Linked DNA regions of Macaca mulatta. The protein of the gene in region 3 purifies or fractionates together with the protein of the main gene of each other region. This does not show direct contact. Links are inferred from orthologs where the notes say so. Each region holds a gene or a part of one and is shown on either strand. Other genes may lie near its edges.

Region 1 (3,631 bases), on a different chromosome or scaffold from region 3:
GAAGACTGGAGAAGCTCCCAGAAGCATCACTTTGCCTGTCTCCTCCAGCTGCTGCTGGGCTCCCGTACCCTCCATGGCACCCAGGGTTTATCCCACACCCGTCCTCATGTCTCTCAAACCTTTGGAGTCTGACTTGGGGAAAAGCTTGGCCCAAGCCACCTTGGTCTTGGAGGGCAGAGACTGTAGGTAGTTTCGGGCCTTCATGTTGATGATACAATTCAGGTCCTCCTGGGATGGGGAGCCCAGGATGCCTGTGGATAAGGAGGTGACTTGGTAAATGATCACCTCCTTCTTTCTGGGAACAGAACAGGCAACAAGGCAAGAACAAGACCCCCAGCCCAGCAACCCATGCCAATCCCTCAGTTACCTCCTAGTCATTAGCAAGGTGGTGCAGAGCAAGGGGGCTGGATTCAGGCAGACCGAGGCTCAAATCCTAGGTCTGGTGCCTCCTTAGGTGTGGGACTTAGACTTGCTTTTCCCATCTATCCAATGGGGATAATATCTATACCTCATTGAGATACCATGAGATGCTGGAGGCGCCCCACACGTGGTGGTATCCCTGACTTGGACTCTTGAGAAATCTCACCTTGGAGAAGGTAATCATCCCCCACTCAGCCAGCCGGGCCTCCCTCACCCAGAATGTGGTTGAGCTGATCCAGGTAGTGCTTGCCAGGGAAGATGGGCCGGTTAGAGAGCATCTCAGCCAGAATGCAGCCCACAGACCAGATGTCGATGGACTTGGTATAGCCCTGGGAGAGAGGAGGAAGTGGTGGGCTCCTGGGCCAGCCTCAACAGGGTCCTGTTTCTACACCAAGCCACCATCTCCAAGTTAGATCCAACACCAGGCAGAAGGCAGAGGCCTGGAGGGCTCAATGCTCAGCTTCCTTGCAGAGCCCAAGGCCCAGAGGGTGGAATTCCTGTGTCATGGGGGTCGGTGTCTGGCTCGGAGGTAGCTCCAGGGCTTCCTGGGACCTGGTCCCTTCCCTTCAGGAGTGGGCAGCCCCTCCTACCTTGGAGTTCAGCATGATCTCTGGGGCCCGGTACCAGCGTGTAGCCACATACTCCGTCAGGAAGCCGGTGTGGTCATGCTCAGGATCGGCAATCCGGGCCAGGCCGAAATCGCAAATCTGGAATCAGACCAAGCTGCTAAGCTCAGTGCTCAAGGCCTCTGCAGCTTAAGCAGTCACGCCCCCTTGTCTTTGCCTCCACTGTTCCCCTTGCTTGCAATGTTCTCCTGCCCAAGGCTTCTACTGGTCACCTGGAAGCCCCAGACCCTGGGGGAAGAGGGGACAGGTGCCCAACCCTCTGACCTTAAGGTCGCAGGTGGTGTTGATGAGCAGGTTGGAGGGCTTTAGATCCCGGTGGAGCACATTAGCGGAGTGGATGTACTTGAGGCCCCGCAGGATCTGGTAGAGGAAGTAGCAGATGTGGTCATTGCTCAGTTGCTGGCTTTTCAGCAACTTGTACAGGTCAGTCTCCATCAGGTCCTGCACAATGTAGCTGAGGATGGTTCCGGAGACCCCCGGGGAGGGGGCAGCGGGAGGCACTTGGTTAAGGAAAACAGGCTCTGAAGGCGAGGCTGCACATCTCCTCCAGCCAGGGCCCCTGGGACTCAATAGATCTGCCAACCTGCACCACCAGCTGGGCAAGCTGCTGCCGTTACCCAGCGGCAGGGCTCTGAGCCTCTGTCGCGTCACAGTTGCTGATCCTGAGCAAGGGGCTTCACTTCTGTGGCCTCAGTTTCCCTACCGGGGAAACAGGGATAATAATAAACTGTGGGAGGCCGGAGAACTTCACAGTTAAGAGCAGCAACTTGGGCCAGGAGTGGTGGGTCATGCCTGTAATCCCAGCACTTTGGGAGGCTGAGGCGGGAGGATCGCTTGAGGCCAGGAGTTTGAGACCACCAGCCTGGGCAACATGGCAAAACTCTGTCTCTACTGGTAATACCAAAATTAACTGGGGACAGTGGCATGTGCCTGTAATCCCAGCTACTCGGGAGGCTGCAACACGAGAATCACTTGAACCCGGGAGACAGATGTAGTGAGCCGAGATCATGTCACTGTACTCCAGCCTGGATGATAGAGTGAGACTCTGTTTCAAAAATAAATAAATAAATTAATTAAAAAAAGAAAACTACAAAAAGAGCAGCAACTCTGGACTTAACCCATGGAAGTCTGAAATCTCCTCTCTACTACTTACTGGCTTTAGGAGCTCAACCTGTCTGTGCCTCAACTTTCTCATCTGGTATGTAGGGGAAATAATGTGTTTTTTGTTTGTTTGTTTTCTTTTTATTTTATTTATTTATTTTTTTGAGACGGAGTCTCGCTCTGTCACCCAGGCTGGAGTGCAGTGGCCGGATCTCAGATCACTGCAAGCTCCGCCTCCCGGGTTCACGCCATTCCCCTGCCTCAGCCTCCCGAGTAGCTGGGACTACAGGCGCCCGCCACCTTGCCCGGCTAAGTTTTTTGTATTTTTAGTAGAGACGGGGTTTCACCGTGTTAGCCAGGATGGTCTCGATCTCCTGACCTTGTGATCCGCCCGTCTCGGCCTCCCAAAGTGCTGGGATTACAGGCTTGAGCCACCGCGCCCGGCCTGTTTGTTTTCTTTTTGTGGAGACGGGCTATTGCTATGTTGCCCAGGCAGGTCTTGAACTCATGGGTTCAAGTGTTCCTTCCACCTCGGCCTCCCAAAGTGCTGGAAATTACAGGTGCGAGCCATGAAATAATGGTTCTTTTGAGGGTGGTTGTGAAGACTAGATGAGATGGCGCATGTAAAACTGTCAGCCCAGTGCTAGGCAAGTTGTGAGTGCTAGGCAAACATGAACTATTATTACTAATATCAATGCCTGAGTCACATGGCTGTTGAGGGAGTTAAATGAGATAATGTATGAACACCATCTGGCATGCAATAAATGTTTGCTTAAAAATAAATGCCTGCCTTATGGGAATGGTTTGCGCAAGAAAAATGAGGAGACACTCCCAATAGCACACTCCCACTCAAAGAAGAGTGCTTGGCCATACCTCAGAAGATGGAGGAGTAAAATGTCTTTTTCTATTTGAAGATAAAACAAAGCTTATGCGTAAATAAATAAATAAATCCACAAATGCCGTTTGGCTTGTCTCTGGAAAAATAAGTCAGGGCTGTCTTTTAGAATCTGCCTTGAGGCCAGGTGCAGTGGCTCACACCTGTAATCCCAGCACTTCAGGAGGCCAAGATGGGTTGAAGACCTGAGGTCAGGGGTTCGAGGCCAGCCTGGCCAACAGGGCAAAACCCTGTCTCTACTGAAAATACAAAAATTATCTGGGCGTGGTGGCGGGCGCCTGTAGTCCCAGCTACTTGGAAGGCTGAGGCAGGAGAATAGCTTGAACCTGGGAGGTGGAGGTTGCCGTGAGCTGAGATCCAGCCACTGCACTCCAGCCTGGGTGACAGAGGGAGACTCCATCTCAAAAAGGAAAAAAAAGAAAATAAGAATCTGCCTTGAAAGGGTCTTCAGAGGATATGTGGACCAGCCCTGCTGTTTTAGAGCTGGGGAGGCCCAGTGAGACGCAGTGACTTGCTTCAGACCACACAGCGAGATGGGGGTGAGCACAGAGATTTCCTGTCCACAGTTTGTGGTGGGGGCTGCAGACAC
Region 2 (2,354 bases), on a different chromosome or scaffold from region 3:
AGCAGCTGCAGTCTTTTAACTATCTACACTTTCTTCTCTCCTTTTAAGGCACAAACATATTTACAGTTTCAAATACACCTGTCAAGATCTGAGAACCATACGAAGCAAGTTAATCACAGGCTAGTGCACAGAAGCCGGTTGGTCCTTTTTGGCTGTACGCATCACTGAGGGACAGCGTTGGGTCTGAAGCAACCAGAAGGTGTGGGCCTTCTCTTGTGCCACTGTGGGATGTTGTCAAGTCTATGCCCCACCGTCAAGGTGGGGGTCACAGGAGAAGCCAAAGTGGCAAAAGCATGACCAGGATTGGGGACAATTCATATTTTTTTACTTTGCATTGAACATATTCCTAAAAAGACAGCAGCTTGCCTGCCTGAGCCAACTCTCAGAAAGAAGAGCAAGGTGGAGGCTGCCCTGAAGCATCCACAACCTCATGTAAAGTCACCACAACCTCATGTAAAGTCACTGTGATCATAGTTTGTTCATATTGTCTTACCTTCCCACAAAGACAGACACACACATGCACACACACTAACACGCGCACACACACCCCCTTCCACCATGGAGGAAATCTCTGCAACAAGAGGCACTTGAATGATATTTGGAGAGTTCCCGTGAAAAGGCCTTCCCCTCACAGTGAAGTGGGATCGACAGAACAGAAACCAGGTGCTCAGGACTCCATCTCTTCTTGGTCGAGGGGCGGTGGCACAAAGCTGACGACTTCATCATAGGTCAGGCCTAGACATCGGGAAGGAAAAGTAAGACGTGAGAGTTTAGGCTGTTCTCTTTGCTGGCGAGCACTCTGACTTCACTCAAGATCCTTCCTCCCTGTCCAGGTAGTGGTATGATGGGCTACCTCACAGCTGGTATGTAATATTCTAATGGAGCACGTTATCACACAGAAGTTCGAGGGACATAGAAAAGAACCTTTTTTTTTCCTCATGTTTTTCATTGCTGAATGCCTCTTAAGTTCTCTACGGAGGTGCTCAAGAATGAAAGAGCACTCTCACAAGCTACGGCAACAGATGGTCTTGGCTCTTTGGATTTAACTGGAGTTCTGAACTTGTGTTTTATGGAAAGAATATGGGACTGGACACAGGATACACGGGTTCCATTCCTGGCTATGTCCCTAACTAGTTCTAAGTTAACTGGTAAGACATAAATTCTCTTTGCCCCAGTTCTACTAACTGTAAAACTGTAAAAATATCCTATTCTTTACTTAGCTCAGAGAGATGTTGTAAATGCAATAACTCTGAAAACCTCAAATCTCCATGCAAAGCTCCTATATGTGAGGGGCTGTGCATAAAATCAGACCAGATGTTAAGTATCTCAAAGGTCCAGAGAGTATCACTGTCTACAACACTTTCCACCAGAGAACATATTCATTCTGCATTACAGACCTCAACTACAAGCTTTAGCAAGTTGGTTATGACCATTCAGTTTTTATTTTCCCACCGCTTTCGGTTAGTGGTACAAGATGTTAATCCTACCCTTAGGACTTACTTTTCCACTCATCTATAAGGAGGTCCCTGCTTTCAAAGGACTGATCATAAGGATCGGCCACTGGTTCATCATCAGGATCGTGGTACTGAGCAAAGTAGGCATGTGCAAGGGCTTGGGCTGCTGTAATTCTCTTATCTGAGTCCAATACAAGCATCTTCTCCAGCAAGTCGACAGCTATCAGTACCATAGACAGGAAGGAAAATAGTTTTTAATATGTTACAAAAAAGTATGCCTTATTAAGCAAACATAGTTTTGACCCTTCATATCCAAACAAGGAATTCTCCTCCAAAAATACCTACTCTAGGATATACTGGCCCTTTTCTCCTTTACGTGTGTGTGTGTATCTGTATTTTGTATGTTTAAAATGTTTTATTTTATTTTTGATTCGGGGGTACGCGTGCACATTTGTCACATGGGTCTCACGGATGGGGACTGGGCTTCCAGTGTGCCCAATAACCAAATAGTGAACATTGTGCCCAACAGGTTATTTCTCAACCCTCACCCTCCTCCTGTATTTTGTATTTTTAAAGAACATGTTACTAAAGAAGAATTTTTTTAAATGACTAGGATTGTGTTTGAACAGGCTTTTGTGGAACGTCAATGTCAAACTGCTACCAGTGTAGTCAAACTGTATAAAAACAAAAGCCTACAGCTACAGTAATCTAGAATAGGTAGGCAGGACTGTTTTTTGTGTGTTTGTTGTTGTTGTTTTTTGTCCCCCTTCGCTGTTTATTTACTAACATAAGACAAATAAATATTCATCAAACAGATCTTCAAACAGTGAATAAACTGGGGGTTTTACATGGTGATGGGGGTGAGACATGGTATTAAAATCAAAGGGAATTTTATTTAAA
Region 3 (4,130 bases):
TTGTTGGTCAGCACCCTTGCTCTGGACCCCTCCTTCTGCCCTGGGGTGACCCCCACCTGCCAGCAGTGGCATCATGGCTACTTTTGCTCCATCCCAGGGGGGCAGGGGACAAGAATAGAGCAGGAGTGTCCAGGATGGCTCAGGATCTCAGTCCACATGCAGATTCCCTGGGCCCCTTGGGAGAAGCTACTCTGAGCCCAGGCCTTACAAGGGAAATTACTGGGCTGCAGCTGCTGTTGGGACCTGTGGAGCCCACAAGGGATAAGTGTTTGGCCAACAGGAAGGGGCCTGGGTGCGACCTGAATGTCTACTTGCTCTAGCCTTGGCTTCTCTGGCACGTCTGTTGGAATTGGTGACCTGCCAGCCACTGTGCCTTCCTTGGAAGCCTTCCACACCTGTCCTTGAGGCTCCACACCTGGCCCAGAGCATCTGTCAGGGCCAGGGCTGAGGCTGTGTGAGAATCCTGCAGAATGTTCCCAGTTTGGCTTTACAAATTTGGACTCGTTCCAAACTCCCAGTCTCCACAAGGGGCTCCAGTGAGCAGAAAGGCCAAGCTCTCTGTGTGCTCATGCTGGGGAGGGGCACAAAGACCCAGGTACATGAAGGCAGGCAGTAGAGGGGAGTGGCAAATCACACAGACCCAGGTGGTTAGTTTTGCTCAAAATGCTCCGTTTATTGCTCTATTCAATGACCACGAGCGAATTATAAAAAGACACCAAATGTCTCTGTCTGCCGTGGGATAAATATTTAAAGTCAGCAATAAAAACACGTGGCTCCAAGATAACACACGTTGCCAGAGTCATGCATGCCCTCCTGGTGGGCTCTCAACACACGCATGGACATGGGAACACACGCAGAGCGACACGCAGTGAGACTTCTGGGAAGGCTTTCCCACAGTGACACGAAAAATGTCTCACATAGATCTGGGGCTGAGTCCCCACCCAAACCTTGAGCTCCCCTCCCCTCCCCAACAGGGCCCAGATCCTCTGGGTTCTCCACGCCCCATCTGCCCCCTTCCTCGCCAGTGCCTCACAGGCTGGGCACCCTCCTGAGGGCATCTGACACCCAGAGGCCACCCTGGCTGTGATGCCCACTCCAACCTAGAGACCTCTCCCTCAGCTGGAACTCTGGTAGCCCTCCGGAGCTCCCCATGCCTAACTCCCAGTCATCTGCCTTTTGGGAGAAGTGCGGGTGAGGCCAAGGCAGGCAAGTCCGCCCAGGTTGCTTAGGGGCTGGAGCTCATCACCCCTTCCTGGCCGAGGAGACACAGTGTCCGGTACAGACAGCAGAGATGGACGGACAGACAGAACACACCGCAGCAGGACACAGAGTGTGGCACGGAAACGTTCTGGATCAGGTACTGATGGGACCATCGTTAAAAACTGGGGCCCGGGGTCTGTGTGGTGTGGATCAGGCCCTGGGGCCCCAGGCCCGACCTGGCATGTCCCTCCCCGACCCTGCCCCCACTCCTCAATATGTACAGTAGGAAGAGCAATGCTGGAGGGTAGGGGCCAGGCCAGGCTGACAGAGAGGACAGAGGGAGCTGACTGAAGGGGAGGAAGCGGGGAGCAGGCCCAGGACCCAAGGCGGGGCCCTGGGTGAGGGCCGAGACTCAGGCTGGGCAGTGCCCAGAGAACCTTGCAGGAGAAGCGCAGTCATTCTGGGGACTGGTGGGACAGCTGCTTTTCGTAGAGGCTCATGACGTGGTGCACAAACTGGTACTGCTCGCATGTCTGGATCATGCCGCCCCTGCCCGGCAGAGATGCACAGTGGGGGCAGGGTCATGGAAGGATGGGCTGTGGGAGGGTGCCTCAAAAGCCACGGAGTAGCCATCACTTGCCAGGCCTTGTCCTTGTGCATCTCGGAGAGACCAACCCTTGCCAACCATTACCCTCTGCCCCTTCCTATCAGGGACACAGATGACATGTCCTACCGCTTTCAGCCTCTCAGCCTCTGTCCTTTTGTCCAGCAGCTCTGCTTTTCTTCCCTCTTCATCCGGCCCCCCACCGTCTGGATCCTGCCTCTCTACCCAGCTGTTCTCGCTACTCCTTGTTTGCCCATCAGTCCATGCCAGTGTTTTCCATCTGCCCCTCGCCCCCCAATGCACATGTGGGTCTCTCCCTCTACCCCCTCGAGGCTCTAGCTCCCCTGTGTGCCCAGCCCCCACCCATGGGCTGACCTGTCCTGACGGAGCTGGCACGTGGTCTTCAGGATGTCCACCACACCCTCCTGCCGCAGCTGCTGGCAGCAGATGCTGGTGGCAATGAAGCAGCCGGTCCTCCCAATCCCTGCACTGAGGGCCGAGGGGACCGGTGGGGTGAGGGGCAGGGCAGCCCAGCAGGTGGGGGGCTGCCCCGCTCCAGTGGCTGGCTGGGAGGACCCACCTGCAGTGGACGATGATGGGGGCACAGTGGGGCCCCTCCTGCTGGGTTGCCTCCTCCACCTCCCGCACCAGGTGCAGGAGTGGGGGGGCCCGGTCTGGGGTCTTCTGGTCGGGCCAGGATGTGAACCAGTAATGCTTCAGGCCTCGCTCCTCAGTCCCACTCTGTCGAGGAGACAGAGGCCCACCCCGGGTATGTGTGAACTCCTTCAGCTCACAAACCAGCCCAGAGATAGAGATGGGATGGGAGGAAGAAGAACACAGGAAGCACACAGAGAGTGGAACCCCTTAACCCTTCCATCTAGGCCATATTGCCCAGTGGCACCAGACAGAGACCCAAAGCCAGCTCAGTTTTGGGGGTTGGTCAGTGGTGTTGGCGTGGATCTTGTCTTTGGTCCTGCCCCAACGACTTCAGGATCGTCCAAGAGGGGCCAAGAGCCCCTTCTCCAATTTATTACTGTCTCCGGGGCTCCTTATCTTAACAAATGGTCCCCCAGTCATCCCTTTGTCACATAACCCAGCCCCAGGACTCTTCTCCTCCTCTTGCTTTGCCTCGCCTGCGTGACTCACCTCTATCTTAGTGCTGCAATTGGTGCTGTAAGTTTTACCACCTCTTCACACTCCCCGCTTCACTGCCACCTTGACCTTTATCATTGCTTGAGTGTGGGAGATTTCTGCCTCATTCCCAACTGTCTCAGATCCACAGAGTCAAAATAGTCTGTGTACAACACACTTCTGGACATGCTGCTCTCCTGCTGCAAACGCATGGCTTTGGACTGAATGTGTGTGTCCCCCTAAGTTCACATGTTGTAACCAAACCCCAATATGGTGGTATTTGAAGGGAAGGCCTCTGAGGTGATTAAGTCATGAGAACGGAGCCCTCACAAATGGGATCAGTGCTCTTACAAAAGGGGCCTCAATGATCTTGCACTCCTTCTGCCATGTGAGGACATGACCCTGGAAGTGGGTCCTCACCAGGGTCATGGTGCCTTGATCTTGGACTTCCCAGCCTCCAGAACTGTGAAAAATAAACCTGTTGCTTACAAGCTCCCTGGTCTATGGTATTTTGTTATAGCAGCCTGAGCAGACCACAACATCCTTCAATGTCTCTCACTGCTCTCAGAATAAGACCTACTCTTCTCAGTCCTTCGCCTGGCTAGGAAGACAACTGCTACAGGGCCTGCCCTTCCAGACACACCTCCTGCTCCTGTGTACTTGTACTCAATGCTCCCACACTCCGAAAGGTTTGTAGGTAAAATCTCAGCAGCACATGCAAACACATGTGCACACAAGTGTTCCATCTTCCATGTCCTTTGTTTTATTTTTTTCTCACTGGGAATGCTCTCCTGACTTGTTTGCCCCGGTCAACTCTTACTTATCCTTCAAGACCCCATTCGGCACCACCACTTACAGGAGGCCCTCCCTGAGCACATTAGCTGACAGAGTGTCCTTCTTTTATACATATATACACACACACACACCCCTATATATATATATATATTTATATTTTATATATATTATGTATTTCATATATTTATATTATATTTTATATATACACATATGATATAGATCCTATATTCATCCAATTTAACATATGATATACATATCCTATATTCTATATACCTATCTCTAGCTCAGTACTGACCATCTTATACATGCTTCTCGAGGAAAGAGTCCAAGCTTTGAGAAGCTCTGTGTTCACAGTACCCAACCCAGAACCAAGCTCAGGCCAGGTATTTGTAATGTCTTA

What was found.
Region 1: the proteins of PTPN5 (region 3) and MAPK3 purify together in Homo sapiens (affinity purification with mass spectrometry; 4 studies listed by BioGRID and IntAct, with this or other methods). This does not show direct contact. The link is inferred for Macaca mulatta from reciprocal best matches to the Homo sapiens genes PTPN5 and MAPK3.
Region 2: the proteins of PTPN5 (region 3) and MAPK14 purify together in Homo sapiens (affinity purification with mass spectrometry; 3 studies listed by BioGRID and IntAct, with this or other methods). This does not show direct contact. The link is inferred for Macaca mulatta from reciprocal best matches to the Homo sapiens genes PTPN5 and MAPK14.

What each region holds. Positions count from the first base shown.
Region 1 is NC_133425.1:28,441,212-28,444,842, reverse strand, and holds part of MAPK3 (mitogen-activated protein kinase 3), read right to left. Parts: intron 1,501-3,631; coding exon 1,311-1,500; intron 1,128-1,310; coding exon 1,011-1,127; intron 750-1,010; coding exon 635-749; intron 252-634; coding exon 120-251; intron 1-119.
Region 2 is NC_133409.1:146,147,204-146,149,557, forward strand, and holds part of MAPK14 (mitogen-activated protein kinase 14), read right to left. Parts: intron 2,145-2,354; exon of another isoform or gene 1,675-2,144; coding exon 1,501-1,674; exon of another isoform or gene 736-1,500; coding exon 668-735; 3' UTR 1-667. UniProt on the Homo sapiens protein: Serine/threonine kinase which acts as an essential component of the MAP kinase signal transduction pathway.
Region 3 is NC_133419.1:46,658,344-46,662,473, reverse strand, and holds the end of PTPN5 (tyrosine-protein phosphatase non-receptor type 5), read right to left. Parts: intron 2,546-4,130; coding exon 2,385-2,545; intron 2,294-2,384; coding exon 2,180-2,293; intron 1,750-2,179; coding exon 1,656-1,749; 3' UTR 649-1,655; downstream 1-648. UniProt on the Homo sapiens protein: May regulate the activity of several effector molecules involved in synaptic plasticity and neuronal cell survival, including MAPKs, Src family kinases and NMDA receptors.